Linked DNA regions of Mus musculus: regions 1 and 3 are each reported to be linked to region 2. The links are microRNA targets in miRTarBase. Many come from high-throughput screens and were not tested one by one. Region 2 holds a microRNA gene; each other region holds the end of a gene's coding sequence.
The links. Region 2 holds the annotated microRNA mmu-miR-194-5p (UGUAACAGCAACUCCAUGUGGA, at 4,452-4,473, shown strand). A microRNA usually pairs through its seed, bases 2 to 8, with sites in the 3' UTR of a target mRNA and lowers its output. Matches are read on the target gene's strand: a 7mer-m8 pairs with bases 2 to 8, a 7mer-A1 pairs with bases 2 to 7 and ends in A, and an 8mer does both.

Region 1: the mRNA of Set is a reported target of mmu-miR-194-5p. Seed matches in the 3' UTR shown: 7mer-A1 at 5,943-5,949.
Region 3: miRTarBase lists Arl6ip6 as a target of mmu-miR-194-5p. Seed matches in the 3' UTR shown: 7mer-A1 at 4,986-4,992.

Annotation. Positions count from the first base shown.
Region 1 is chr2:30,067,081-30,077,715 of GRCm38, reverse strand. It overlaps Set (SET nuclear oncogene), which reads right to left. Exons shown (of 8, transcript NM_001204875.1): 2 at 9,390-9,447; 3 at 8,614-8,756; 4 at 8,286-8,389; 5 at 8,085-8,198; 6 at 7,361-7,531; 7 at 7,129-7,275; 8 at 5,139-6,797. The coding sequence ends at 6,774. It also overlaps a transcript of Pkn3 not described here. Among named protein-coding and RNA genes, the nearest start is that of Set, 5.9 kb to the right of the region's middle.
Region 2 is chr19:6,260,207-6,270,841 of GRCm38, forward strand. It overlaps Mir194-2 (microRNA 194-2), which reads left to right and starts at 4,437; the gene lies at 4,437-4,522. Mir192 (microRNA 192) reads left to right here and starts at 4,638; the gene lies at 4,638-4,726. Atg2a (autophagy related 2A) reads left to right here. Exons shown (of 40, transcript NM_194348.3): 39 at 1,166-1,318; 40 at 1,395-2,098. The coding sequence ends at 1,631. Gm14963 (predicted gene 14963) reads right to left here. Exons shown (of 2, transcript NR_168273.1): 2 at 8,588-10,635.
Region 3 is chr2:53,213,680-53,224,314 of GRCm38, forward strand. Arl6ip6 (ADP-ribosylation factor-like 6 interacting protein 6) reads left to right here. Exons shown (of 4, transcript NM_022989.4): 4 at 3,616-5,542. The coding sequence ends at 3,709. Among named protein-coding and RNA genes, the nearest start is that of Arl6ip6, 27 kb to the left of the region's middle.

The DNA.
Region 1 (10,635 bases), not on the chromosome of region 2:
GCCTGACTTTCAAACTTGAAACTTCCCGGGAAGTGGCGCGGGACACGCGGTCGGGCGCCCCCTCCGGAGACTCGCGCGCCCCGCAGGAGCTGGGGAGCAGCGCCCCCTCCCGGCCACGCGGGAGCAGCGTCACGCTCTGCACCGCAACTGTTCTTAGAGATGGGAAAGCCGAGGGCCATTTCTGCTCTAGCTTTGCCCGCAGCATGCGCTGGGGCCTGGCCTGGTCACGGAGTAAACCTTGACCCAAATTATGGCCAGATCCAAATAAGATACGAACTAACTCAGACTTGTGCAAAACGCATTTTCTGACTCAGCGGGAGTCAAGGTTCTGATTTAGCATAAGGATGTCCACAGGGGCTGAGGAGGAAGTTCAGTAACTGTGTGCTGTGAGCATAAGGATTAGATCAGTCAAACCAACCTTGTTGGTTTTTAAGGGGCTGGGAGTGAGGGCAGGACTTCTCCGGTGGGTAGGATTTGCCCAGAACATAGGGGGTGGGGGTTTGCCCTCCAGGTGTGGTCGTGAAGACCCTATGGTGCCTGGTGCAGAGGGCCAGACAGAACCGTGGTTGGCGTTAACGCCAGCACACCACACCCATGCCTTCAATCCCAGCAATTGGGAAGCAGAGGCTGTCAGATCTGTGAGTTCATGGCCAGCCTGATCTACAGAACAAGTTCCAAGACAAAAAGAAGGGCTACACAGAGAAATCAAGTCTCGAAGAACCAAAAAACAGCCAACCAACCAACCAACAACAACAGGTCTGAGGGGAGATTCTGGCTCTAACATTTTTTTTTTTTTTTTTGTTTTTTGTTTTTTTTTGAGACAGGGTTTCTCTGTGTAGCCCTGGCTGTCCTGGAACTCACTCTGTAGACCAGGCTGGCCTCGAACTCAGAAATCCGCCTGCCTCTGCCTCCCGAGTGCTGGGATTAAAGGCGTGCGCCACCACGCCCGGCTGGCTCTAACATTTTTGGCATCCTATGAGTAGCAGTAGTTGGAACCTACCTCTGGAACCAGTCTACACAAGGTTACAATCCTAGCACCAGAAAGGCTGAAGCAGGAGATGGATGGTGCGTTTGAAGGCTGCTGAGGTTGCTCTTTTTGTTCGAGAAAGGGACTCACCATATAGCATTTGCTGACTTCAAACTCAGCTACCCATTCACCTCCCTCTGCCTCCCAAGTGCTGGCTGGGATAAAGTGTGTGGCACAACACCCAGGCAGAGGGCTACTTTCACTGTTAAAACTTCTAAAAAAAAAAAAAAAAAAAAAAAAAGGGGCTGGTGAGATGGCTCAGTGGGTAAGAGCACCCGACTGCTCTTCCGAAGGTCCAGAGTTCAAATCCCAGCAACCACATGGTGGCTCACAACCATCTGTAACAAGATCTGACGCCCTCTTCTGGAGTGTCTGAAGACAGCTACAGTGTACTTACATATAATAAATAAATTAAAAAAAAAAAAAAAAAAAAAGAAAAAAAAAAAAAAACAAAAAACTTCTTAGGATTTTTTTTTTTTTTTTTTTTGGTTTGGTTTTTTTCGAGACAGGGTTTCTCTGTATCGCCCTGGCTGTCCTGAAACTCACTTTGTAGACCAGGCTGGCCTCGAACTCAGAAATCCGCCTGCCTCTGCCTCCCAAGTGCTGGGATTAAAGGCGTGCGCCACCACCGCCCAGCAGGACTTTTTTTATGTGCCTATAGGAATGTTTTGTTCACATGTGTGTGTGCACCATGTGGATGCCTTGTATCTTTGGAGGTCAGAAGATATTGAGTGCATGTAGGTGCTAGGAGTCAAAGCCAAGTCCTTTGCAGGAGCAGTGTTTTAAATCTCTGACCCTCTAGCAACAAGAAAAAGAACCACAGCTTATGAAAACTATGAATCACACCCATAAATCTCTCCCTCTGAGTTGCCGGTGCTACAGTTCAGAGGTCAAAGATATTCCCGAAGGCTGGTGAGATGGCTCAGCGGGTAAGAGTGGCTGACTGCTCTTCTGAAAGTCCTGAGTTCAAATCCCAGCAACCACATGGTGGCTCACAACCATCCATAACAAGATCTGACCCCCTCTTCTGTTGCTACAGTATACTTATAAAATCTTTGGGCCAGAGAGAGCAGGGCTGACCAGAGTGAGCAGAGGTCCTAAAAATTCAATTCTCAACAACCACATGAAGGCTCACAACCATCTGTACAACTACAGTGTACTCATATACAATAAATAAATAAATCTTTAAAAATGAAAAAGTTATTTCAAGAGGGGCTCAGTGGTGTATGTCTGTAATTCCACCATTCACAAGGATTTTTTTTTTCCTTTTCTGAAACCCAGTTTCTCTGTGTAGCTCTGGCTGTTCTGGAATGGCTCTGTAGACCAAGTTGGCCTAGAATTCAGTGATCTGTTCACCTCTGCCTCCCAAGATTAAAGATGGGCGCCACCACCACTGTCCAACTTTATCAGATGGACCTCTTTTTTTTTTTTTTTTTCCAAGACAGGGTTTCTCTGTGTAGCCCTGGCTGTCCTGGAACTCACTTTGTAGACCAGGCTGGCCTTGAACTCAGAAATCCGCCTGCCTCTGCTGGGATTAAAGGTGTGCACCACCATGCCCGGCCAGATGGACCTCTTGAGTGAGCCTGTCTCCCACCCCCACCTCACAAAAAAACCCTCACTCAACAGGAAGTACTACTGCTACTCCCAGAAGCTAAACCAATAATCTGATTCAGAGCTCTCTTTTGGTCATCTCAAACAGGAAAAAAAGAGCCAGGATCGATGGCACATGTCCTCAATCCCATCATGAGGGAGAGGCAGGCAGGTAGAGCTCAAGGATAGCCTAGTATAGAGTCCCAGGTAGCCAATGAATGCTACACAAACCCAACTCGAAAGAAAAGTTGTCTGCACATGTGATTATAGCCCCCAACCCCAACTCCCAGGGTAGTGACTGTAGTTTCCAAGTGGCTAAAAGATTCTGTATGTGCACGCTTTACCTTCCTCCGTGGCACTGAGGGCAAATGTTGGGTTCTATACATTGTAGACAAACCCTTCACCACAAATGAAAGCCCCCAGCCCTCTATAGAATACTGCTTCAGAACCACCTATACCAGAAAGCTGAATGAGTAAGTCCCTCACATGGAAGGAAAGGAGCTGGGAGCAGAAGCCATCATTAAGGCATCTGAGCAGTTGAACGGTCTGATGCAAGCACCTATGCTCAAATTCTCAGGCAGACTGCAAGCCTAGCATCCAGTATGTGGCTCCACACCCAAGATGCCTTTTAAGACTGGCCAGCCTGAAGGCGCCTAAGGTTCCATACAGGGTACATTTTCCTATTGTACCCAACTGGTGCAGCTATTCTAGGCCTCTGGTAAAATCAGTACAGATGTAGCTTGAGCTGTGAAACATCCTATAATTCCTTATATCACGTAACTGCAACCCATTAGACCTGATAAAAATTAGAGATGGGGATGGTAGAGCATGCCTTCAATCCCAACACTCAAGAAAGCAGATCTCTGGATACCTGGCCAGCATGGTCTACATAGCAAATTCCTAGAACAGTCAGGATATAGACACCTCAAAAGATATGCAAACAAACACAAGACCACCCATCCCCAATTAAATGTGGGTGTGTGCTCAGGAAATGGCTCAGTGGTTACAAGCATCTGTATACCAGAGTCTGAGTGTTTGGATCCTACCACCCATTAGGTGGTTCACAAATACTGTCCTGCTCCAGTGGCCCCGCCAAGGGAATATCCGCTTACAGGGCATATGCTCAGACATTTTACACAAACTCAACACCAACACACATACACAAAGTAACTTTTTAAAAGACTTTATATTTACAGGTGAGTACACTGTTGCTGTTCAGACACACCCAAAAGAGGGCATCAGGTCCCATTACAGATGTACTCACAGGGCTGTGGTGTTATCGAAAACCTTTTTTCCAAGCTGGGCAGTGGTGGCGCACGCCTTTAATCCCAGCACTTGGGAAGCAGAGGTAGGCAGATTTCTGTGAATTTGAGGCCAGCCTGGTCTAGAGTTCCAGGACATCCAGGTCTCAAAAAACCAAAGATACCAAAGCTTAAACTTGTGCTTTTTTGTAGCTCTGGCAGTCCTGGAACTCTGTAGGCCAGGCTCCCACAAAACAAAGCAGAGCTTTGTGCAGCTCTAGATGTCCTTGAACGCAGAGCCTCCAGTGTCTGCCCCAGTCATGTCAACCCAACCACAGGCTATGCTCTACAGGGAATGTCAACCACAGGCTATGCTCTACAGGGAACGCTGCTTTGGAACTGGGATGGGAAGCAGCTCACTAGCAGCTGCAGAAAGTCACCCTCTCAACATGCCTGTTACTAGACCACCGATTAAAAGCATGCACAACCCCATCCAGCTAAATTTTTTATTTTAAAACAATGAAACCTTAACTTCCCACACCCAGTCTGAGAGCTCAGTAGCTAAGCAATGTGGCCTGTTATGCTAGCCCTTCCCTGTCTCATATACCCCTTCATGACAACCCAGGTTTGGCTTACTTCAACCTGATTTTCTTTTTTTCGAGACAGGGTTCTCTGTGTAGTTCTCTGGAACTCACTCTGTAGACCAGGCTGGCCTCAAACTGACAAATCCGCCTGCCTCTGCCTCCCAAGCGATGGGAATAAAGGCGTGCACCACTACCGCATGGCTTCACCTGATTCTTATGTGAGATAGTAACAATAGCAGGGGAACTAGAATCTCTAGGCCCAAGGACTTTTAACTCCCTCTCCCGTCCTTCCAGAAAACTGTTCTTGCAGACATACAAGCAAGCAAAATACTCATACAAATAATCACACAGAGCACACATAAGGAAGACCGCAGTGCAGTGGGTGATGGGAAGCTCATATTCCCCAAAACCCACACACATACAAAAACAAAAGGGAGTGTAGAGACATAGCTCAGTGATACAATGCTATTTCTATTTTGTCACACACACACATATACTCTCTCTCCTGGGGTCAGTATTCATTTAGGTCAGCACCCTCCCCCAACCACATGCAGAGTCAAATGGTTATGAATCTGGTGTCCACAACCAACCTTCTGCACACCATTTGGGCCCTGATTACTGCCAAGCCAGTATCACTTGAACCCCAGCCATGACTGCATCTTCTAAGTCACTACAAAACAAGGAGAATGACCCCAGTCCAAAAAAAATCTTTATGTTCCTTTATTGGAGCAAGATTCCTGACGTATACAGTGATGTATTTACTAAACAGAGTCCTGTGCAGAAATTACACACTATCCATCTAGACAGATTTTGGTTACACTTTGCCTATTGATGGAGTAGTTCCATTTATAAAGTTTTATACATCAGAAAGCTTTGAATTTGACCAGGCTGTCCATTAATCATCTCTGAAAAAGTGGCATTGAATTTTAGCTCTATTTTACAGCATTAAAAAGCTTACGCATCAGGTAGCTTCCCAAACATTATCCTCTGCCCGATGGCGCTGAGCAGACAGCTCTTCATCCACCTACGTCAGTCTCACATCTGAGAGCTTCTGCTACATACCTGTGACAGACACTACCAACCACCTCACTGACTGCTGACCCTGACAGTTCACACTGCCAATGAGGACACGTCAGCGGCTGTCCCTCATAGATGGCACAGAGCAACGGGTCAGTAACGGTGGGAGCAGGTAGGTGCTGCCGTGAGGTCCGGGTAAAGGCCCATTTTAAAAAGAAAATGCCAAATTGAGATAAAAATCAAGGGTATAAGTCCACAGCAGCAAGCTGTGCCCACAACTCAGTACGGAGACGTTAAGACATGATTCAAATCCCTTTCTCAATCTGCACAGCCCTGAGGTCATCCTGCAAAGTGCGTATCAAAAAATACGAAGTTGGGGAGACAAAGTTTGACGTGATGTCATTATGCAGTCAAACTTGGAAGGTCTGTTGAGCATCTGTTGACAGAAAAGCATCAGGTCCTTTGTGTACACACTGATTTTATTGTAACAAAGCAACTTGTACACTTCAACATTTAAAATGAGCATCTTTTTCCTTCCAGTGAAAACCAAAAAAAAAAAAAAAAAAAAGAAAAAGAAAAAGAAAAAAATTAAAATTACAACAGAATGTCAACTCCAAATAAAACCATACAGGTTCTGCTGATTCTCCCATTGAGTGTCAGGGCTCAAGTCATCATCAGGAGAGAATTTTATTTTAAGTGTCACCTTAAATTGCAAGGATGTCTGTTAAACCACACAATTAAACATGCCAAAGGAGAAGCCATGTTGTCAGATGCCCACCTACCCCAGACACCTCAAACCCACCCTTGCTCACCGTCTATACCCCCCCTTTTTTTCTTTTTTTTTTTCTTTTTATTAAACAAGAGAAAGTAGACAGATACATGTTGGTAAATGCTAACTGTCTGTATTCACATAGAGACACAGTGTAATCTCTGAGCCCAATATACAGAGAAAAGAAGAAAAGCTAAAATTCTATAAACTACTACACAGGGGCCTAGCGCCCTCCAGCAGAGCCAAGGGAACTGGAGGGCTTTTCTTTTTTCCCACAGAGCATGGTGGTGTGGAATCCACAAATTTAGACAAGAAAGGATAAAAAATGAATTAAGAACAGAAACGGAGATTCTTTTCCTGTTGTATTTTGCTCAAGATACTTCCCCCCAAATTAATTGAGAACCATGATGTTGAGACCTCAAAACAGGGCGACTGAGCACAGAGGGACAGGGAGGAAAGGACTGCAACTTGCTCCCAGGGACTGGAGAAAATTAAAAAATAAAAAGAAAATAAAAAAGAAGGTTGGAATCCATCAGTCTTCTGTGCTAATCATCCTCGCCTTCGTCCTCCTGAAAGAACAAGGAGCAGTCAGCCTCCAGCGCACGCACCCTGCCCTTCACCAGCTCTCCCAGCCTAAACTGGAATCTTCATTAACTTAGCACTGATGTGGAGGGACCCACAGCGGCTCACAATCTCAAACCAATGGGATCCTACACCTTCTGAATCATGCAGTGCAGACACATACATAATCACCCATACATATATAATTACATTTAAAAAAGAGGGAAGACTCAGATGTTAACACTCCACTCCCACAACTGTCCCACTATTCCAGCCAGTTCCCTATCACACATTATATTTTATAAATACTGGGGCTTGGGTGTACCTCTCCTTCCTTACCTCTCCTTCCTCCCCTTCATCCTCATCGTCATCTTCTTCACCTTCATCCTCATCTCCTTCTTCATCAATATCTTCCAGCCCCTCCTCCTCTTCGTCGTCGTCATCATCATCTTCTGCCTCTCCTTCTTCATCATCCATGTCGGGAACCTGAGAGCAGCAGGCAATGTTCTTTTAGGGACTCATTCATTCTATTGGACACATTACCTCTTTCAAGCCACTGACGCTTACTCACCAGGTAGTACTGCAAGGGATTTGGCCAGATGTCATCTTTGATGACCTCTCCTAACTCATCAGCACCTGCGTCAGAATGGTCAGTAAACCAGGTAAAGAAGCTCTCTGGCTCTTCGTGCTGCCTCTTCCTGCTGGCCTTATTTTGCGTTTGACTTGAGCGTTTTGTCAAATCCTAAATGAAGACAAACATTCCCTTTATTAGCTCCCCATAATACCCAAACCCCACATAAAGTACAACAAAGACCAGTGAAGAAGTTCATATTACTAAGAACTATAAAATGTCCATTTGGTAAAGTCTTGTAAATTGCTTTCATAGGATACACCTATCAACTGTCTGACTTCATAAAATGACTTCCACTAGGCGCCTTTAATCCCAGCACTCGGGAGGCAGAGGCAGGCGGATTTCTGAGTTGGAGGTCAGCCTGGTCTACAAAGTGAGCTCCAGGACAGCCAGGGCTACACAGAGAAACCCTGTCTTGAAAAAAAACAAAAAATAAATAAAATAAAAAATAAAAAAATTAAATGACTTCCACCCTAAATCTCCAATTCAAACCTATGTCTCCAAAAATGGAGCCGGAAAGCCTGAGCAGATACTGTAGACGATGCAGCACAAAGACAAATGCAGTGTGGGGTTCCTATCCCGATTCCTCTGTTCATTGGAATCTCTGCATAGTTACCCAGCATCTAAGGCACTGTGTGCAAACCAGCCATGATATACAAAATACCTTTCCAGATTTCCATTTGATTTCGGTGGACTTTGAAGACGGGTCACCACTCTCGTTCAGATGAAATTCTTTGGAGAGAACTTTATTTTCAAAGTAAGGATTTTCATCAAAATACTGTAAAATATGGAATGATGAGCAGTCAATGATCAGCTTTCATACCATTACATACTCACTGTGCTAAGCAGGAGGTTAGGTACTTACAAAATCTATTCTGTAACCTGATTTAATGTCTTCAAATTCTGTCACTTCAACTCTGGTCAAATAATGCAGAGCCTCCTCGTCCTCCTCCCCAAGCAGTGCAGACACTAGAGAAGCAACTCAGTTCAGTTCAAGTGGGAATGAGACTACTTAATGACCCTTTTAAATGTTCAAAAACTCAGCGAACACCCTTCCACTTTGCTCTTTCTACTAAAACCACCAACTGCAAACAGACTATTCTTGTCCCAACTGCAGCTTTGTGAGGTAACTGTCCCCAGAGCTCCCCAAGCTCCAGGTCCTAGCAGACCAGCAGTGCTGACCCACCACATACCTTGTGGATGGTTGACAAATGTTGTTACCCAAAAATTTGGGATTTTGGCGATCAATTCTGACCTCTTCTGAAAAAATGGTTGGCGGAGTTTGTTATATTTTTGTTCTACTTTCAAAATTTCCTCACTGGCTTGTTCATTAAGTCTGAAACAAATAAAGACTAGAATCAAAACCTAAGGCGGTAAGATGGAAAGGCTAAATACCCAACTGACACATGCTGGTAACACTGTTGCTTTTTCTCTCCCTGCTTAGGAACAGAGTATCTGCTACCCTGCAGCCCAGTCCTCTGACAACCAAAACCACTGAGCTAACTCAGCTCATCTCCAGTCTGGCAACATTGTATTTCTGTATACTGTATTTCCAAATAGTTATTGTGTCCCCAGTAGCAGAAAGTGTAAGTGAAGGTTAATCAAGAAACAAAACAAGCAAATGCCTTTAATCCCAGCACTTGGGAGGCAGAGGCAGGTGGATTTCTGAGTTTGAGGCCAGCCTGGTCTACAGAGTGAGTTCCAGGACAGCCAGGGCTATAGAGAAACCCTGTCTCTGAAAAACCAAAAAAACCCAGGTAGCAGCAGCCAGACTCTAATTCTGCACCTCTGAAAGAGCACCCTACCTACAGTACCCCCGCACCTGGGAAGGCTGAGGAAAGATTACATTAACCCGGGAGTTATAACCAGACTGAAACACGAGTGTGCTCACCAAAACCTTCCTGTAGTTACCTGATGCCAAATCAGTTCCACAAGAGAACTTTCCATAACATGAATTAATATATTTTACCTGTCTATTTCATTTTGTACTTCATCAATATGTTCAATTGCTTCTTGCTGTTCTTTTTCTGCAAAACAAGAAAGGGGACATAAGACTCAACACTAATTACAAGCTCCTCTTCCTGATCCCAGGATGGGAACTGCAACAGTGAAGCTCACCACAAAGCATGCTCCCCACGTGTTCGAGCACGCAGTTGAGAATTACTTTCTCATTACCCTACCATTCACAAATTAAGGCATCTACTCCGCTACTCGGAAAAATGCTTCACTCCTGGATTACTTTTCAAAGAGTTTCGTTCGTTACAAAGGTGCAATCATTGGCCTTCATTATTAAAGGTGAATGAGAGGCTTCACCTCATTCAAGAATTTTTCATGTTTATTACTAATATTATACAATTGTAAGAGAAAGGGTGCCAGTGCCAGCTGCCACTTAGTGTGGAAACTAGTCCATGGCCATAAAACAAATTAGGATACTATCAACTGTTATAACTGCTTTAAAAAAATTTAAAGTGCTCTCAATTTGTTATGATTATCAATATACACCGACAAAGACCAGTTAGTCACCAAACTTCCCGGAGTCGTCTTCTCAGACTTAGAATGTAAACCTGACCTTACTCCTTCAACCCATTCTTGATGAGATTGGTCATCATATACGGCCGTGCAGTATTTCAGGACACTTCGTGGGAAAACCCTACTCAAAAACTTGGAGCCATAAAAAGGAGAGGGGGTGTGCTCCTATTTCGTGCCCTTTTGTCCGAGGGTTGTGAAGGCTTTTACAAAGCCAAGTGGGCGTGAAGGGGCCCGATCGCGCGTCTCATTTCCGGTAACCAGCCCGGGCTCTGCAGCTGTCCTGGGCTCGAAACGACCCTCCAGGCGAGGGCTAGGCGTCCTAAAGGCCCCTGAAGCCCCTGCATCATACGGCCTCGGGGCCAGATTCCTCGCACCCCCGGCGCGCCCGAGTGTGGCTGCCCCACGTGGGGTGCGCAACCCGCGCAGCCTGGAGCATCCTCCCGCCGGCTCCGCGCCCCTACCCCGCCCCAAACCCCGGTTCCCGGTTCCGCGGTAGCGCCGGCTCAGGGCGGGAAGCAGGGCGGCACTAGAGGCCCGGCCGCAAGGCTGCGTCCGGCCGCACCATGTGGCGGCGGTGGCGGCTGATGGGAGCGAGGCATCATGGCGGAGCACAATAAAGAGAGGCTTCTCGGGAGGGAGGGAGGGGGAGGAGAGCGCGGGCGGGGGGAAGGGGGGGTCTCCGCCCG
Region 2 (10,635 bases):
CAGTCCCCCTGAAAGCCGAAACTTGAAAAGGCTGGGCACAGTTAAAGCCACATGCCATGGAGGCTCCCATGGTGGAGCCAAAGTGCATCTGGGCCGTCAGAACCGACCATGTCACATGCTCCAGCTGCCTGGAAGTGATGCGTGTCCAGGGAGCAGACGCAGAGACCCATCCCAGTTAGTTCTTCCAGGTTCTGTGTTTCACTGAGCCCCAGAGACCACCCCCTACCAAAGCCCTGGTCTTCAGGGGAGTGATTGAGTCCTGGGGTAGGACTGGGTGTGTCTGCGGGTATGTGGAAACACTGCATCAAGAGAGCTTTGAGCTCAGCCCTCAGAGGGGAGGGCAGAGTTCCAGGGGTCTGCAGTGGGAGGGGGCACAGGCCAGAGGGGTGGTGGGCAGAAGGCTCTATTGTTCTGATAACTGTACAGGGGTGCCCTCTAGTGGGGAACTAGACAGCTCCGGCAGGTGTCAGCATGCCCAGCCTAGGTGGGAGGCCCACAGGAAAGTTTTCCAGTGCCTTCAACCATGACCACCTCACCCAGCCCAAAAGACTTTTCTCTTCTTCCTCTTCTTCTTCCTCTTTCTCCTCCTCTTCCTTCTCCTCCTCTCCCTCCTTCTTCTTTCTTATTTATTCTTTGTGTGTGTGCCATGGCTTGTATTTGAGGTCAGACAATTTTTGGGACTCAGTCCTCTCTACCATGTGAGTCTCTAGGGTTGGGGATTGATTTCAGGTCACCTCACAGCAAATGCCTTGACCTTGGGAGCCATCTTACCAGCCCTGGAAGGGTGTATAAATGTCTCCTTCAGTTAAGGAGGTCCTTTGAAGAGGTGGAGAGGTGGCCCAGCAGTTAAGGCTGAAGCTGCTCTCGCAGAGGCTTGGGGCTCAGTTTCTAGCGCTTTATGGGTGGCTGTAACTCCAGCGCCAAAGGATCCAGTGCCCTCTTCTGGCCTCCAGGGGTACTGCATCACTTGGAATCACACACAAATTAAAATAAATGAATATTTAACAAAAATGTAGGAAGTTCTCTTCGGTAGGTGATGGGAGGGGAGTGGGGGGGTGAGGCAAAGACTGGCTGGGACAGGAATAGTCATGCTGGAAGGTCTGGTCCCCAGGGTGGCCTGCAAGGGAAGGCCACCCTGCCATCATCCAACCCTGGTGTCCTTCAGGCTACAGCTGAGACAGTGTATGACATCCTGTCCCCGGCTTCTCCTGTCTCCCGATCCCTACAAGACAAGCGCTCTTCGCGGAAGCTACGCAGAGGTCAACAACCTGCTGACCTCCGGGAAGGCATGGCTAAGGCTTATGATGCTGTTCGAGAGGTGAGGACCACCCTAGACCCACTTGCAGGTGCCCCCATGCCCACCCCTCATTCTCACTGACCTCTGACCTCCACAGGGTATCCTGGATACAGCTCAAACCATCTGTGATGTGGCATCCAGGGGCCATGAGCAGAAGGGACTGACAGGTGCCGTGGGGGGTGTGATCCGACAGCTCCCCCCAACCGTGGTAAAACCAATAATCGTAGCAACAGAGGCAACATCCAACGTGCTAGGGGGCATGCGTAACCAGATCCTTCCAGATGCGCACAAGGACCATGCTCTCAAGTGGCGATTGGAGGAGGCCCAGGACTGACTGCAGGCACCCAAGATCCACCCACTGTCCCAACATGCTCACCGTGTCCAGCCAGCCACAGTGGTGCCACCAGCTCCCTGTTTTCCTGATTGCTGTGACCCACAGCTAGGCCACCAGGTCCTTCAAAGGATGGCCACTGTGAAGGATACCTGCCCAGCCTGCTTGTTGCCAACTGGCCGAGAGAGTGGGGCCTCCCGGCTTTGGGGCCTCTGCCCTGTCTGTGCACTTTCATCTGGGGAGAAAGGACATTGCTTCTCCCTGCTACCTGGGCCCACACTGCTGCCTTGTTCCAGAATGAGGATGGAGGCTTTTGGACCCATGGACCCCACTCAGCCAAGTGTCTCTCCGTGTCTCACGGGGAGGTGGGGGATAGATGCCATGTGGGTCGGTGTATTTTTAAGATCTCTGAGCGTGTGGGTCAGTGTCTGCATGAAGTGGAATAAACTTGCCCACCGCCAGCCCAGGCCACGTCCAGGTCCTCTGTACCTGTGAGACCCCAGTCTGCCCCACTCTGTCTAAGCCTTGATCTGCCAGTTCCCACTTCTGCACGCAGTACACACCTCCTGCCACCAGGAGGCGCCACACTTCACCCTCAGCCTTCTGATGCAAACAGGCTTTGGGTTCAACCTACTTACCATCCTGGTGCCTGTCATCTTGGCACTACTTCCAAGTGAAGCTGGGGGAAGTTGCCTGGCAGCCCCAGAGGAAGAGTCCCTGAGAGTCCGCATCAAACCCCATTCCTTGGTTCTATTCCTGTCAGACCCCAGGCTCCAGCCTTATTCTTGAGGCTGGAGCGAAGCAGGGCTCCAGGCCTGTCCTGGGAATCTCTGTGACCTAAGGCAACATCTGTTAGTCTGCCAGCCGTGGCAGTGTCCAGGGTGTCCCACTCGGGGAGGTTGAGGCCTATTCCCACCATTTTGAGAGAGTGGCTTTCTTATGCTGGGACAAAGCTGTGTTGTCCAGAAGATGCCTGCTGACCATCCCACGTTCATTGTTCACGGGGAGCCACCCTCGGTAGCACTGCCAGGAAGTGGGTGGGCCTGTGGGAAGGATCACTTGTTGGGCATCCCTGGTTCCCCCTGAAGTTAGCTGTGGTCGCTCCTCCTTTGGCCCCCATCATAGACCTGAGTATTAAGCATGAGAGGACTTCCTTGTGCCCCATCCCCTAGTTTGGCTGTCTGGCTAGCTAGGGCCAACAGACTAGGCATGAGGTCAAGCCAATGAAGCCCATGGGTGGCCAGGGTCTGGTGGCACTGGGTAGCTGAAGACCCAGTCTGGTACTTCCTGGACCCGCCCTGCCAGCTGGGGCACAGTCCAGGTCTGCTGCCCTTCGGACCCCTCTTAGGGTCAGTATTGATGGCAGTGGGCTAATCATTAACGCAACCAGGGCTGGGCCAACGGCTCAAAAGGCTTGGCCCAGGGTGGCCCCACTTCCTCCTTGTGCCCCGAAGGCCAGCTAGGTGCAAGGTAAGAGCTCCCAGGCTGTCCTCCAGAAGGCTGCTGAAGGCTCCCGACTCCAAGCCTTCCTGCCAAGCCATCAGCCCTTCTGAGCAAGTTCTGTCCTGTGGCTCTGTTTCCACCTTTGGGTAAAGTGGCTGGTGCTTCCCTGCTCTATGGAGACAGAATTCTTAAGCAGCCATGTCTGTCTTCTAGATGTCCAGGGCCTCATGGAACAGGAGGCTGGGCCTTGAGGGGGCTACTGGGCTGTGGGGAAACCGGAAACCATCTAGTCTGGCATCTCCCTTGGCAGCTCTGCTGCTTCTCTGGGCCTTTATCTACCACTGCCGAATGGGGCATGATCCAAGCATACTCTAGAGGCTTCCCTTTCTTTCTAGAATCCTGAGTCCCAGCAGGACAAACACGGCCCCATCAGTGAAGCCTCTTGGGCCAGAATCTTGGAAGGGATGAGAGTGCAGATGTATTCCCAGACATGGGTCAGCTCAGGGGTCCCACCTCGAAACTCCTTGTCACAGCAGGGACAGAATGGGTGGAAGGAAAGTGTGCAAGATGGCCCCCAAAGGTAGGGAGTGTAGTGCTGCAGAAAGGTTAAGCTACTTGTCTGAGGTCACACAGCTCCAAGGCCCTTGCTGGCTTAGATTACCGAGCTTCTGAGTTCTAGGTGCTGGCCACCTATGGCCCTGCTCTGGGCACTCACTGAGCTTGCTTGGGTAGCAGCACCCCACTCTCACGTTTTCCTTTTTTTCCTGTGCTGATGCTTAAGCCCAGAGCCCTAAGCCAAGCCTTCTACCCCTGAGAGTCCCTGCCCACCTATCCCCCTCCCCACTTCCCTTCACCTCTCTAGCTTCCCGTCTGTCCTTTTCCTTCTCAGCCTCATTTCCCTCTTTCTCTCATCCCTCCTGTTCCTTCAGTCTTCTCTTGTCTCTAGCTTCCTGGGTAGGGCCACCCTCAGGCAAGATTACAATCCAGTTGCCTCTTGCTGTCCCTCTGTCCCATGGTTGCAGCCAGGAGGGTGGGCCTGAACGTAGGCCTCAGCTCTGTTTAGAAGGGAAGGAGGAAACCAGAAGGGAACTTGGAGCCGAGGGTGTGGGTGTCCGTGGGCTGCAGTAGAGTTGTAAATCAGAGCCGCTCCCAGTCTGATGAGGCGGCTCTGGGCTTGAGCCTGGACTTCGCTCAGGGAGGTTGGCGTCCTATGGGGTGCCAGGTGTGGGCCTTGGATGAATGATAAGAAGCCTCAATAAAAAGTGTGGACTTGGAGCCGAGAGGCCTGCGGGCATGAGTGGGCAGCTGTGGGGCTCTTCCCAGGATCCTGCAGAGAGGAGGTCCCTGCACCTGTGCTGACCCCCCGTGGCTCCCACCCTCTGTAACAGCAACTCCATGTGGAAGTGCCCACTGGTTCCAGTGGGGCTGCTGTTATCTGGGGTGGCGGCTAGTACCAGCAGAGGAAGAGGAGCCACAGCCACCCAGCATGCCAGGAGGAACCTACACAGCAGTCTTCAGGCATGGGAAGGCAACGAATGGTGGGTTGTCAGCAGGCTGCCAAGATGGCGTGCACAGGGCTCTGACCTATGAATTGACAGCCAGTACTCTTTTCTCTCCTCTGGCTGCCAATTCCATAGGTCACAGGTATGTTCACCTCAATGCCAGCCATAACGACTCGAAGGAGCAGGGTGGGAGTCAGGGTGGGGGAGGGTATCAAAGTCAAGGTCCCTCCTCCTTCCTCACACTCCCTCCTTCCTGTTTCCAGTTGTGAAACCTTGCCTGACTGCCCTTCAGGACACCTGTGTGTTCCCTTCCCAGCTTCTTTGCCAGGTTCTTCTTTGATTGCTGGCGGGAACTTGCTGTGTGGTCCAGGCTAGCCTTGAACCTGTCTCTGCCTGCATAGCGCATAGGTCTTCGGGCTTTGACCGTTGTGCATGGCACCAAGAGCACTCTTCATCTCCTCCCAGGCTCAGCCCAAGCTCGTCCCTGAAGTGCCATGGGTGGCACTCATCGGCCTGGTTCCAAACCAAACAGCAGTGTCTGTGTCTGTTTCAGAGACTTCATGTAGCCCAGGCTGGCCTCACACTGTGTAGTGTAGGGTGATGCCTCCTAAATGCTAAGATTGTGAGCATGTCCCGTGCCTGCCTATTCACGGTACTGGGCATGCTAGGCAGGAACACACTCCCAGCCTGCGATTCTTCTTGGGCTTTGTTTTTGTTTTTGTTTGGAGACAGGGTCTCACTATGTAGATCTAGCCATCCTGGAACTCACTGTGTAGACCAGGCCAGCCTCGAACTCCACCTGCCTCTGCTTCCCAGGCACTGGGAAGGTGTGCACCACCAAGCCTAGGGCTTTTCTTAAAAGTGATTGATTCCAAGTGCCACCAGGGCTCCCAGGGCCTCTGGCTTGCTCCCAGGCGCGCCCCCTAACCACTGCCCACTGAGTCCCATGCTGGGCACAGTTAATCTGTGCTGTGTGTCCATATGCTTACCACCCATGAGCTCGGCCCCAAGCCCTCAAGCCCATAGATGCACCAATTACGTTTTGCAAACATTCTGCGATTCCATCTCGCACTGCCAATGGCAGGGGACTTTAGGGCCCAGGCTGGGCCCACTCCAAATGCTCCTTTCTCTTGCAAGTCTCACTTTTGAGGTCCAGCCAAGGCTAATGGAGAACCATCTGAGAGGGCAGGACCGACCACACATGCAGTAATCCCAACCTGTGTCACACCACTCCTACCCTTTTTTTTTTTTTTAAGATTTATTTATTTATTATATGTAAGTACACTGTAGCTATCTTCAGACACTCCAGAAGAGGGCGCCAGATCTTGTTATGGATGGTTGTGAGCCACAGTGTGGTTGCTGGGAGTTGAACTCAGGACCTTAGGAATAGCAGTCAGTGCTCTTAACCACTGAGCCATCTCTCCAGCCCCCACTCCTACCCTTTTTATTTCACTGTTTTTGAGACAGGGTCTCAGTATGTAGACCAGACTGGCCAGGAATTCACTGTGTAGAGCTTGGAGATCCACCTGCCTTCTCCTCCTGAGCTAGGATTACAGGCTTTCTAGTGTACCTGTAAGTCCTTTTCTTAACAGTGGGGCTTGGGGAAATGTCTTTTTGAAAAACTGGTTCCTGCTACTAAAAATGTTTTCTTTTTAAATATTTTCTTGGTGGTCTTGTATAGCCCAGTGAAGCGTCAACTTTATTCTCTGTTTTATGTTGTTTGTTGGTGTGTTTTGAGACAGGATTTCTCTGTGTAGCCTTGGCTGTCCTAGAACTGCTCTGCAGCCTTTAATTCACAGAAATCCACCTGCCTCTGCCTCCTGAGTGCTGGTATTAAAGGTGTACACCAAGTGTCATTTTGTCTTTTTTAAAAAGATATGTGGGGCCAGCAAGATGGCTTGGCAGAAAAAGACACTGTCAAATCTAAAGACTGAATTCAATCCCTGGTACACACACAGTGGGAAGAGACTCTCCCACAGTTTATCCTCTGACTTCCACACACATGCTGCACACAAAGAGTAAATAAATATAGATAAATATATTAATTAATTAAAAAGATTTGTGGGTGTGCATGCAGTCATGTATGCAGGCACCCACAGAAGCCAGAAGGTAAGGTTAGATACCCTCAGGTGGTGTCACAGATGGTCCTGAGACCCTTGGCACAGGTGCCTCCTTGTGAAGAGCAGCATGTTCTCTTACATACTATCTTTCCAGTCCCCCTTTTCTGTATATTTTTGAGACATGGTCTCTCTCACTCTATCACCCAGGCTGGCTTGGAACTTGAAGCCACCCTTTTGCCTTTGGCCAAAGTCACACAGGACCTTCTCTAAAAACCTGTGCAAAAACATGGGTGACTAAGGTCCCAGCTTTATCTCAGGTTCCATTCCTGAGTGTCTTTGGTTCCACTACGTCAGCTCTCTCCACCCCTGGGTTCCTATCCACCACAGCTAAGATGCAGATGAGGGAATCCTGAATCCTCAGAATGCTTCTCCCACCTCCCTTGTCTGACTGTGCATCTTATCCTTGCCTGCTCTCATCTTCTGGAGAACAAAGCCCTCAGCTTACTTGTTTTGCAAAGCTGGTTCCACACCTACCGGTGTGGTAGGTCCTGGAGATGCCCTGGCTGAACAGATGGACGCTGTAGTCTGACACTCTTGGGCCCAGACCTTACTCCATCCCAGGCGCTAGCTTAGGATGGAAGGGGATGGCAGGCTGCCCCTGGCCAGGGTTTCCTCCATCTGTCTCCACCAAGCTCATAAAAGCCTTTAATGGTTCAGGGAAATGTCTCAACTCAGAGCACCCCCGGCTCTCTCTGGCCCAGTGTCTTGACCCCTGTTGACTTGTGGTCTTTCTGCAGCAGACCCTAGACCTATGAACATCGTTCCTTGCTGGCTCCCTCCCAGTCTCCACTCAGATACCTCACTGCCTCCAGGATACGTGCCTGTGTCCCTGGAAACTTGCTTGAGTCACTTGTTCCATCCAATTCCCTGGTGTAAGGTGGCCTGTTAGTGACCCTGTCACACCTCATCACTAGTGTCTATTTCCTTTACAACCTGTGGACCCCTGGGAGGGACGGTCACTGGCTGTGTTCCCTGTAGCCTCCAAGACTAACACAGGAAGTCCTTAATGTTTATTGGAGGACCTGCCACTTGTGTGAATAGATTCCTGAGAGGGACATTATGAGGAGGGTTGGCATAGTGCCTGGGGACAGAAGATCCTGAGGTGCCGTCGGCTGTCTTCCCTACCATCGTCAGCATGGCACACACGTGGAACTGCTATGCTAGCCAAGCACCCAGGAACCTCCTGACTCACAATCCCACAGCAAAGAACTGGCCAGTAGAGAAAGGAGTCTGAGCTGGATGAACATGACCAAGAAGGATCCCTGAGAGATAAATTTGAGTTCAGCTTTTACTGCAGCGAAGGGTGGCAGTTGGCCAGGAGCACATACATACAGAAAGGGGAGAAAGCCACCCGACCCTGAGGAGGTACCTTGGCCTTAGGCAAGCCTCACTCCCTAGGATCGCCACCAGGGGGCACCCATGATACCTCTTGTTTCATGCCTCAAGACGACCCACCCCACGTCCTTCTGCTGTTTCCTAAGCCAAGCACAGCATCTCCCCAGGGTCTCTCCTGGCGCCTCTGAGCTATACCCAGCCACAATTTTGTCATCCACTGAGTGGGTTTGAAAATGGGTCCTCGTGTAATAGCCACATACTGGGTCGCCACTGTTAATATACAGGGAGTGGTGTGGTTGGGGCTGGCCAAGTTCCCCTGAAGTTTCTGGAACCCTAGTTTATTCTTTCACTACTGGACAGTATTCCAGTATGAATGAAGATATAATTGTTTTCACACCTTCCGTATACATGGACTTAGCACCTGTTCTCCTTAGGGCTAGAAGCAATGGGAAGCCAGTCTCCAATGTTGAGGGGAGGGGTTCTTAGGTTCAGGCCACTTTGTTTTTCTTTTTGAAAATTGTGAAACCTTCGGAAATGTTGCAAGAACAGAACAATCAACAACCATGGACCCTTTATTTGGATTCGTGGACAGCTGGCATTCTAGGGTAACATCTGCTTCCCCTCTCCCTCACGCACACTTTTCCCGAACTACTAGAGACCAGCATACAGGTCATGACCCTTCACCATGAAAATTTTCAACATGTATCTCCTAAGAAAATATGATACCCTTACACAACCACAAAGTTGCCAAATGTAGGTCCGCCCCACTGATGCAACCCTGTTCTCAATTCACAAGTCTAGTTCTCAATTCACAGTCGGCTTCTAGAAGTCACTGAGTGCCCCGGCCAGCTTGCAGCAGTAGGGGTTGAACTTGAGGCCTTCTGCATACCAGATGGCCACTCAGCTACACAGCTACCCACTCTTTATCTTTTACTTACTTTTAATTTTCTAAAAAAATATTTTATATAAGCCGGGCGTGGTGGCGCACTCCTTTAATCCCAGCACTCGGGAGGCAGAGGCAGGCAGATTTCTGAGTTCGAGGCCAGCCTGGTCTACAAAGTGAGTGCCAGGACAGCCAGGGCTACACAGAGAAACCCTGTCTCGAAAAACCAAAACAAACAAACAAACAAACAAAAACAAACAAACAAAAAATATTTTATATGTATGGGTTTTGTGTGCATGTATGTTGTCTGCATACCCTGGGTACCAGGAAGCCAGAGAGGGTGTCACATACCCTGGAAAATGGAGTTATAGATGGTTCTGACTTGCCATGTGGGTGCTGGCGACAGAACTCAGCTCCTCTGCAAGAGTAAAAAATGTTCTTTACCTCTGAGCTGTCTCTTCAGCCCTTTAGTTTTTATTCACTGGTTACTATTACTGTGAGAGTGTGTGTGAGTGTGTGTGGGGGGGGGGAGGCGGGGTTGTGTGTGTGCCAGCTGTTAGAGGACAGCTTTTTGTTTGTTTGTTTGTTTGTTTGTTTTTTCAAGATAAGGTTTCTCTGTATAGCCCTGGCTGTCCTGGAACTCACTCTGTAAATCAGGCTGGCCTCAAACTCAGAAATCCACCAGTTTTTGCCCCCCAAGTTCTGGGATTAAAGGCGTGCGCCACCACTGCCCTGCTAGAGGACAGCTTTTAAGAGTCAATCCTCTCCTTCTACCAATGGATCTGGGCTTGAACATAAGTCCTCAGGTTTGCACAGCAAGTGCCTTTCCCCACTGAGCCAGCCTTACTTTCGGTTTGAGACAGGCTGCCCAGGCTGGCTGACCTTGAATTTGTGGCCTTTTTGCGTCAGTCTCCCAGGTAGCTGGGCTCCTAGGCCTGAGTCACTGGCACACAGTGTCTCTTTTTCCTGCTTTGAATTTCTGACTTCCTTCTCTGTCCAGCTAGAGAAATCTGTGGAAGTTCACAGACGCCACTCTCGGCCACTCCTGTTTGTAACCCCAGTATCCTGGGAGCCCAGGCAGAGAAATTCAAGGCAAGCTTGGGCTACCTTGCAGAACTGAATGGAAAGACTTCAAAACCAGTTGGGTGTGGTGCTGCATACTTGTAATTCCACAGTTCAGGAGGCAGAGGCAGGACCATCACTGTGGACTCTGGGCCAGTGAAGCTACGGAGTAAGCTCCTCTTTCACAAATTAAAAAATAGAGCCAGATGTGGTGGCACGTGCCTTCTTTAGTCTGAGAACTTAGGAGACAGAGGCAGGCTGATCTGTGAGTTCAAGACCAGCCTGGTCTTCTTAGTGTTTTAGGCCAGCCAGGGGTACCTAGTAAGATGCTGTCAGAAAATAAAATCAATCCACTGTATAAACAAAAGAGCTAATGTGGCCCAGCAGCCTGAAGAGACAATGGCCTTATGGAAAGAAAGGTGTGGCTTCTAACAGTCAGGGAGAATCCACAGTGTGTTCAGTCCTAGGTGGGCTGTGTACCCCAAGGCTCAGGGATCGTGGAAACACTTGGCAATGCTAACCCACCGGCCTCAAGGACCAAAAGGGCAAGAAAGTGATTCTGGGGCTGGTTGTAGATAGAGGAGTCAGGACTCAGAAGAAATAAGCAGACCTCAGCCCGACTTTGTCTCTAGGCAGGGTCCCTCTGCGCCCGTCTTTGGGAT
Region 3 (10,635 bases), not on the chromosome of region 2:
CTGAGACATGCATGCTTGTGGACTCAACAACTACTGGATTTTTGGACCTGTTCTTGGCAGATAGTCATTGTTGGACTAGCTGGACCACAATCTAAACCATGTTAAGAAATCCTCTGTGTGTGTGTGTGTGTGTGTTATAATAATATGTATATATTCATTCTATATGTTCTGTTTCTCTAGAGAACCCTAACTAATACAAGAGTAAAGGAGGGTTTTTTGCTTACATATTGTGAATCACAATCACAGTCTGTGGAGGGAAGCCAAGGCAGGACTCAGCAGGAACTGGAAGCAGAAGCAGATATAAAGGCCATGAAAGAGTGCTACTTACTAGCTTGCTCCTCTGGGCTACCTTATAGAACCCAGGACCACCAGTGTAGGGGTGGCACCACCCACGTCAACCACTAATTAAAAAATGCCCTACAGGCTTACATATAGCCTGATCTTATGAAGGCATTTCCATCATCTCAGGTGACTCTGCCTTGTGTCAAGTTCACATAAAACTAGCCAGTACACATACCCAGTAACAGTATTGGAGAAAACTGATTTTCCTTTGCCAGCAGTATCAGTTTATCTTTTTAGTTAAGGGTTGTCCACTTTCCCTTCTTAGCAGTGAGATTTTGTGTGGTTTGAACTTGTGCAGTTCTGTGTGTACTTTCAGTCTCTTTGAGTTCATGTTTATCAGTCCTGTTGTGTCTATATGAAAGATGTTGTTTCCGTAGAGTTATCCATCACCTCTCGCTATTAAAAACTTTCTGCCTTCTCTTCCATGTAGATCTCTGAGCTTTGAGGGTTTTGATAAAGACAACCCACTCAAGGATGTGTACTCAAGTCTCATTCTCTGCACATCGTTTAGTTGTGAGTGTCTCTGTTAGTTCCCAGCTATTACAAGTAGAGACTTCTCTGATGATGGTTGAGGGATACTCTGATCTATGGGTATTGCAGTATATTTTCAGGAGTCATTTTATTGTTAAGATCCTTTAACAGAATAATAGTAGTAGGTTTTCCCTAGGCTCATGACTTACTATTCTCAGATTCTTGGCCACTTTGGCAGTATAGAGTGAGGTTTTACAGGCCTGTGGAGTCACAAAGACCAGGAGACAGTCTAGAAAGAAAGTCTACAAAGGGATAAAATGAAATCTTGAGAGTTCTACTTCTGGTTCTGTACATACACCATACTGCTTCTTTTTTATTGTAAACCTTGCCGTGTCTCTTAAATTTAAGAAATCAAAACTTGTATTGGGGCTGGAGAGATGGCTCAGTGGTTAAAAAGCACCAACTGCTCTTCTGAAGGTCCTGAGTTCAAATCTCAGCAACCACATGGTGGCTCACAACCATCTGTAAGAGATCTGACACCCTCTTCTGGTGCATCTGAAGACAGCTACAGTGTACTTAGATATAATAATAAATAAACCTTTTATTAAAAAAAAAACTTGTATTGTTAAGGAAACCTGACATTATTCACAATATTTCTTTTTTGGTTTTTCGAGATAGGGTTTCTCTGTATAGCCATGGCTGTCCTGGAACTCACTCTGTAGACCAGGCTGGCCTTGAACTCAGAAATCTGCCTGCCTCTGCCTCCCAAGTGCTGGGATTAAAGGTGTGAGCCACCACGCCCACCTGCTCTTTTTCTTTTAATTTTCTATTTGGTACTCAAGCAGTTTTAGAGGTAGGGATATAGCTTAGTTCTTGTAGTGATTGCTTACCATTTATGGGGCCTTGAGTTTGAATACCAGCACTGACTGCATAAATTGGGTGTGGTGGTACACTCTGGAGGTAGAGATAGAAGAATCAGAAGTTTATGTTTCTACAGTAGGCTAGAACTCAGGTAGGAGAGTGTCATCCTCTTTCCTGTCTTCTTTTGCAATCTCTTCAGACTTAACATTAGTCCTGCTGCATCCTGCCTGGACCCCTCCTCCCCAAGCCTATCTCCACTCCTTTGCTACTCACATCTTAGTGAAAATCCAGGATCCTCCTAGTTTAGTTCCCTCTGGTAGCCCCTTTCAGCCTCTCCTTGTAGCCTGCCTCCATTCCTTTGTAACTTACTCCAGACCTGTAGCTCTGTACCAGGAAGCCACAGCCAGCTGCCACACTTGGCCTTCTGGCAATATTTGAGGACAACCTTCATTTCTTTTTCTTTTTACATTTATTGTTTGTTTGCTTATATGCTAGTTTGGCTATCAGGTCAGGGAACAACTTGGATTCTGTGAATCAAACTCTGTTCATCAAACTTCATGACAGGCACTTTTACCTGTCACATGTGTGGCAGTCAGAATGTACCTTTTGTGAGTCTCCTGCCATGGGTTCCAAGTATTAAACTCAGATGTTAGACATATATACTGCTGAGCTATCTTGCCGTCCCCTTTTTAAGAATATGCCATTCTGCTACAATAAGCAAAAAACTTATCATTACAATGTAGTTAATGGAATACTTAGAAAAGTACAAGCAAAAAACTCTTTTGGTTTTTCGAGACAGGGTTTCTCTGTGTAGCCCTGGCTGTCCTAGAACTCACTCTGTAGACCAGGCTGGCCTGGAACTCAGAAATCCACCTGCCTCTGCCTCCCAAGTGCTGGGATTAAAGGCATGCGCCACCACTGCCCAGCCTGCAAAAAACTTATAAGAAGCAAGTGTCAGGAAAAATTACATGTACATAAATTTTGTGAAGTAGTTGAAACTCAGTAATCATAAATTAGAGATGTTTCTTTGCTGTCATTTAGAAACTTGTTGGAAGCTACTACAGTTAAATAGTCATATTAAGATGAAAGCTGACATTTGTGTTCAAGTTTAACTCGTTCACATAAGCTCAAAGGAATAGCTTCTTTCTATAACCGAAAAAAAAAATTATATGACCAGGATAAATACTGGAGAAACATCTATTTAAGCTAGCGCTAAATAAGAATGAGGGCAGGGAAGTGCTATTAGTAGAAGACTTGCTTGTAATGTAACAAATTTGCTGATGCTACACACACAATCGACTTTGTACTAATAAAATTAAAAATACATTTTTATCCAGGAAATCAGGACTTTCTTGTTAGCTTATTTTTAAGATTGTAATGTGTGTTTGTGTATGTGCTGTGTTTGCCATTTGTGCCTTTGTTCAGATGCCTATGGATGTCCTGGAGCTGGTATTATAGGCAATAATGAGCCACCCAGTTTGGGTGCTGGGCAGTCCACTGGAGGAGCAGGAAGCTCTTTTAACCACTGACCCACCTTTTCAGTCCCTACGAAGACTTTTAAAAGAGAATTTAAGATGGATAATCCTGTACAAATCCTGCAAGTGTCCAGTATTTTTTAACTTATACACTAATGTATAAAACAGGACAACTAGCCAGGCAATGGTGGTGCACACCTTTAGTCCCAGCACTTGGGAGGCAGAGGCAGGTGGATTTCTGTTTGAGGCCAGCCTGGTCTACCCAGGACAGCCAGGGCTACACAGAGAAACACTGTCTGGGGGGGGTGGGGGGGGGAGGTGGGGGGGGGATATGACAACTCATTGTGATATCTTAAGTATTTTAGTATTTACTAGTTTTATTTTAGATCTTACTCGTTTTCTCATACCAAATTACATGTTCTTTTTTTCCCTTTTCTTAATTTGTGCTCTTTCCCTTTTTCACTAGGAAACTGACTGGACATTCTTTCCACATGGGCTACAGCATGGCAATTTTGAATGGTATTGTCGCTGCTCTCACTGTGGCATGGTGCCTCATGTAAACCTACACTAGAGCAACGTTGTTGGTGAAAGTCATGATGGTTTTTGAAGTAGCAGAAACGAAATTGCTGACTCAGAAGACTTTGAAATGTGATCAGATACTTACTATCATCATTATGGAAGACCTTATAGAGGGCACTTCTTCAATGTATAAGATGTTTACTTCATCTTTTTACTTTTGTTTATGTAGTTTATCAGTTACAGAAAATATTTGAATTGAAATCAAACTTGGAAACTTGAATACATGACATTGCCTACCTTTCTATGTATATTCCATTTTTTACTAACAGATACTGATATTTGTGGTTGAGGTAGAAATATTTATATACTATATTAGGAAAACAGTACTGAGGCCAAGTGTGTTAGCAAGACCTTCAAGCCCAGCATTTTGGAGACAGAAGCAGGTTCTGTGGGTTTGAGGCTAGCCTGTAGCTGCACAATGAGATCATTTCATAAAAAAGAAAACAATTCCTATTCTTTGACATTTTGTAGAAGCTACATAAATCAGAGTTTTTGATAATCAGTAGAATGCATATGTGCATTTATATTTTTGTGGAGTGTACCTGGGTGTCTTATAGATTTTTATAATACTGCATTTGTGTTTTAAATGATTACATTTATACCTATATGGCTGTAAATTTTATTTCTTAGCTGGTGTAGACCTGTCCTTTAGTATTTTGTCTCTTCAAAAAGAATTAAAGTACATTGACTTGAGTTTAAGATTAAGTAAATATATTTTTTAACAAAAACATACTACAAATTCAGGGTAAACTATTTGTTGTTATAATGTTAAGAAATTTGAGACTTTTAGCCATTTCTATTTTCTACAATTGAAAGTATTTATTTTGATGTATATATTAGGGTAGCAAACTTGTACTATTTCATTTTTAGTAAATGAAAACCTAAAAATTTTGTATGTAGAAATGTTTGAACTTGTTTATTTTTAATCTCGAGTATTTAGTTGCCAAAGTAGAAAAGGTATTTTGATACTCTGTATGTGTACATATAATTTAACTGTAATATGTATGTTGTAATATATTATAGATACTGTACTTGTCATATCAAGGGTTCTTGTTGTTATTAATTAAGCTTTAAATGTTTCTCTGTCTTGCTTGCTATTTAAGTATGTAGAAAGTCACCTCAATCTTAGAAAGTTGTGTGGTTTACACAGCTGTTTGTCCTGGCTGTAGGAAAATTTAGATTAGGAAAACATTGTGTAGTCAGTGTGTATTCTAGCTAAGTGGCAAGTGAGTGTGTGTGTGTGTGTGTGTGTGTGTGTGTTACATCTGCAGTCCTACTGTTGTTACTACACAAGGGTTCTAAAAGTCTCAACATTTTCTCTATATTCTCCAAAAAAGGTCATTTCCATTTAATTGGAAATGGCTAATAATGTTCCAATTAAAGTGAGTGATGAAGAGGGACATAGATAGATAGATTCTTACTAAATGCCAGTCTCATGACTTAATAGCCCTACTAATTATGCTTTTTAAAATGATTGTTCTTGTTGTTTATTGGATTTTTCATACAATATATTTTGACTTTATTCTTTTTACACGATTCCCTACCCCCAACTCTTTCTATATCATCTCCTTTCCCTCCACCTCCCACCCATCCAACTTCATGTTCTATCTTTCAGGGGGAAAAAGAAATCTGTGTATTTGAATTAGTGTTTTTTTTTTAATTCTCAGGCATCTTACATTCTTTCTTCTACCTTTCCCTTAAAGGACTCTTTATTACAAAGATATGTTCAAATTATAAAATTATTTTATCTCCTCTCTACCTGTGTAAAGCCCCATTCCCATTATCACCCCAATTAAAATGGCTCCTTCCACTTCTTTGTGTGTAATGGCAAGGTTAAAGTTATTATAGTCGATTTTTCAGACACAAGGTAGCCACCTCACTTATAATGTAGATACACAGGACATATAATACACTATTTCTCTAGAACACTATGTCTTATGAACTAGCAGTCTCCTTTGGAATATATCCCTTCATTCTCCACACCTACTGTTAGGTTTCAGTATAAACCATGTATGAGGAAAGTGATGGCCTGAGGTTACTTTTCTTAGACCAAACTCTTTCCTGTTCAGTGACTGCAGTAAAAATAGAGGGGTGTGATTCAAATCAGCCAGTTTCTAGGATTTTTTTTTTTTCAGGTTGATTCTAAGTTCTTAAAACTGGGAGACAGGATCCCATGAAATGCTGGCAACCATGTGAACCAAGCATAGTACAAAAGGATAAAGGTGAGATGAATACTGCTAATGATATTCTCCTGACTCTTGAAAACCTATTGACCACCTGCCATGCTTGAAACTTGGTTACAGTGTTTTGATATATTTGTTTCTGCTGTTTATATAGGCTTTTGTCACTTGCACCACAGAGTCAAGATGGTGTCACCTAACAGAATCATCCAGCTCAATTAGATGTCCCTGTGAGTGTACCTATGTCACTGTGACTGTACCTGTGATTGGTCTCAAAGACTTCAAAGGAGATATTAGTGTCAAGCCAGCTACTGATTTTACTACTTCATCAGGAATTTTGTTCCCAAATTGAGTTAGACATCCTTTAAATGCTACCACAGTTTTGTATTATCAGAAGTTAGTCTCTACTTATATAAGTATTGAATCAGTATTGAATCTAATATTTAGTATATTAGTTTCCCAGTTTTTCTACCTGCTAAATGGAAAAAAATACTAAGCTAAGACATTTCAAACTGAAAACGGTGCAATAATGTCTGTAAGACCTGGTTAAGACACATAATAGAATTTGTAATTTCAAATATATTTATTAAGACATGAGCTGAAACTAATGGAACTAAGAATAAATAGCAGGACTGGGCAAAACTTTCAAGTAAACCTTTATATACATAAAAACCAGAAAGATTGAGAATGCAAGCATGTTATGAATAAGTATAGTATGGAATTTTATGTCTGTATATATATGTGTGTGTGTGTGTTACATGTATATGTATCTGTATATATATACACACATACACACACTATCAAATACTAAAAATGGATTCTTTGAAAAATAGAACCCTGGTTAATTATATTTAAAGTTTCAGTGTATTTTTACATTTCTGTTAACTTTCTTGACATGTTAGTTAGAATCCTATATCTCAAGTAAAACCATCTGACCATGGAAAATAAGACTTAATTGGCATATCTAGTTGCCCAGGACCCAAGAAGATATTCGAAGCTAAAGCATAAAAAACCACAACTAACTAGTCAAGTGCAATGTACTCACTAACCCGTGGATACAAGCCTGATAGCCTCAGGTAGTAGACAACATAAACTGAGCTTATCTCCCTGGAAAGGGAAGCAAAGGCCTTTAAAAGCATTTTTCAAGGTTTGTTGTTTTTGTTTTGTTGTTTTGTTCTCAGCTTACCCAGTCTGCTGGATACTAAGCCTTCAGTTTAAATGCTGTTTCTCTTGGAAGTTTTGGAACACCCTGGTTTCTCCAGAGCTTAAGATGATTGCCACAACAGTGCTTCAGTCAATTTCTTTTAGATGTTCCAAGCTTTGGCTTAATATTTACACCCCACACCCTTCCCCAATTTATAGGTAAATTGATAAAATGACATCACATTTTATACTTCTACTTTGGTTTGCCAATATTCTTAAAACTTTATTCAACACCAAGTGTAGCTATCTTAGATCATCTTACTGTACAGAACTTTCTTGAGCTTCTTGGTCTTTATTTTCTCTTCTGAATTAATTCAAACAAGTTATGTAAGTGTAGAGTTTATTACAGAGCAATAAGAGGTGAGAGCAGACAGTGGACAAAGGAAACATTGCAAAGGAAAAACAGAATGGCAAGGGGATCATGCTGACTTAATGTTGAGGTCTATTGTCTGGAGTACAGTTTTTCTTAAGGATGTCAAAAGCTAGAGAGATCATATTTGTAACTTAATGACAACTGAAAATGCTAGAAAAACAAAAATACCCCAAAAAGAGTAGATGGCAAGAAATAAGTTTAGGGCTCAAATTGAAATAGAGCAACAAAAACATTACAAAATATCAACAAATGTAAGAATTGTTTGAGATATGGGTGTGAAATTTCTCAATATGGTACATCAAATTCTAGAACACAGCAAAAGATTCTTATGATTACTGTGTTGAACACAACAAAAGCTAGCACTTGGAGTTCCTAGAAGAAAAGAGCAATGGCCCATGTAGAGAGATTTATATGGACTTTCTGGGATTTATGGAGAAAAGAAAGCAATTTTATTTTATAGGTTCACATATTTAAAGGAAGAGTGGTGTTACTGGGATTGTCAGGCCTTATTTAGAGCTTTAGAGGTGATGGTAGATCAAAGCCACCTCCTGAAAATATGCTTCCCTCCAAAATACACTTAAAGGCACTTTCCTTCTGGCCACCAGATTGGCTTGCAGTATTCGTAGGGACATACAAATGCCAAGGGGAGGATTGAGTTACAGATTGCTCTGAATTTAGGTTTGACCTTGATAAAAACAGGCTGTCTGTATGCAACACAGTCAAGTTGGCTTCATCCCACAGATGCAGGGGTGGTTCAACATACATAAATCAATAAGCCACCACATAAACAGCCTGAATGACAAAGAACACAAGGTGATTTTTTTATTGGTTATTTTATTTATTTACATTTCAAATGTCCCCCTTCCCAGTTTCCCCTCTCCAAACCCCATATACCCTCTCACCTGCCTCTGAGGGTACTACTCCACCCACCCATCCACTTTCACCTCACCTCCCTAGCATTCCCCTACACTGGGGCATCAAGCCTCCACAGGACCGAGGGCCTCCCCTCCTATTGATTCCAGATAAGGCCTTCCTCTGCTACATATGCAGCTGGAGCAATGTGTACTCTTTGGTTGGTGGTTTAGTCCCTGGGAGCTCTGGGGGATTTTGTTGGTTGATATTGTTCTTCCAAAGGTGGTGTAACCCCTTCAGCTCCTTCAGTCCTTCTCCTAAGTCGTCCATTGGGGTCCCGGTGCTCAGTCTGATGGTTGACTGTGAGCACCTGCCATCTGTATTGGCAGAGCCTCTCAGGACAGCTATACCAGGCTCCTGTCAGCAAGTGCTTCTTGGCATTCGTCTGGGTTTGGTATCCACATTTGGAATGGATCCACAGGTGGGGCAGTCTCTGGATGACCTTTCAGTCTCTGCTCCACTCGTCCCTGCATTTCCTTATGATAGGAGCAATTCTGGATTAATATTTTTGAGATGGGTGGGTGGCTCCATCCCTCAACTGGGGGTCACGCCTAACCACTGGATATGATCTCTACAAGTTCTATCTCTCCTTTATTGGGTATTTTGGCTAAACACACGGTGATCTTAAGTGCAGAAAATGCTTTTAACAACATCCAATATCTCTTTGTTATAAAAGTCCTGGAGAAACTAGAGATAAAAGGGACATTCCTCAACATAATACAGGTAATTTACAGCAATCCCACCACCTACATTAATCTCAACGCATTACCACTAAAATCTGGAACAAGACAAGGATGTCCACTCTCTCCATATCTGTTCAATAGCTAGAACAATATGAACTGCTGGAGATCGAGAGAATACAAGGAGAGGAAGAACTTAAAGTATACTTGTGGATAATATGATTTGTATACATAAAATACTATAAAATTTGCATGAGGGAACTTTTATAACTCATATTTGATCAAAGAATAATCTAAAAATATACAAAAATTAGTAGCCTTCCTATATATCAATGATATGCTAAGAAGCAAAGAAACTATCTTCAACATAGCCTCAAAGGAAATTATATAAATTATCTTGAAGTATCTCTAGACAAACAAATAAAAGTAAAGTTAATTTTAAGGCATAGAAGAAATAAACTGAAGATGACACCAGAAGATAGATCTCCAGGTTCAAGCAAGGATCAGTGAGATTAGTATTGTGAAAATGGCCATCCCACCAAAGGCAATCTACATACTCAGTGCATTCCCTATCAAAGTTTCAACACAAAGTTTGAAGAAAGCGATCTTCAACTTCATATGTAAATGAGCAAACAAAATCAAAATAGCTAAAATTAATTCAAAATAATAAGAAAACTGTTGAAGGTATCCCTGTCACAGATTTCAGTTTGTACTATAGAGCTATAGTAAGAAAAAAAATGGTACTGGCATAAAAAGACACGTTAGAAATCAAAAATAAGTCTACATGCCTTTGAACACATGGTTTTTAACAAAGACGCAAAACAGTAAAAAATTAACAACAACAAAAAACTAGAGAAAAGATAGCATTTCCAAATAATGGTGCTGGTCAACATGTAGCCAAAATGGCTACATGTTGAAGACTGAAAATAGATTCATACCTATATCCCTGCAACCAAATGGATCAAGGAACTCAACATAAGATACCCTGAATCTGTAGAAGGTAAAGTTGAGAATAGGCTTGAAGACATTGACCCAAGAAATAATTTTCTGAACAGGACACTTACAGCACAGGCACTAAGAACAATTAAAATGGGATCCCAGTAAAGCTGAAAATCTGTATGCCAAACGACACCATCTTTCAGGCAAAGGAATATCCTACAGAATGGGAATGGATTTTAATCAATTTTACATCTGACAGAGGGTTAGCACCTAAAATATATAAAATACTGAAAAAAATTAAAACAACCCAGTTAAAATTGGGGCTACAAAACTAAACAGCAGTCTCAAAAGAAGAAACACAAATAGCTGAGAGATGAAATGTTCAACATCCTTAGCCATCAGGGAAATGCAGGTTCAAATTACTTTGATATTTCATCTTACTCCGGTAAGAATTGCCAAGACCAATAAAACAAATGACAACTCATGCTGGCAAGAATGTGAGGTAAGGGTAGCACAAATCTATTGCTGGTGGCAATGAAAATTGTACAGCCACTGTGGAAGTCTGTAATTGTTGCTTTTATTCAACTGACGTAATTGTTTTCTTGGAGGCTTACTTCTGA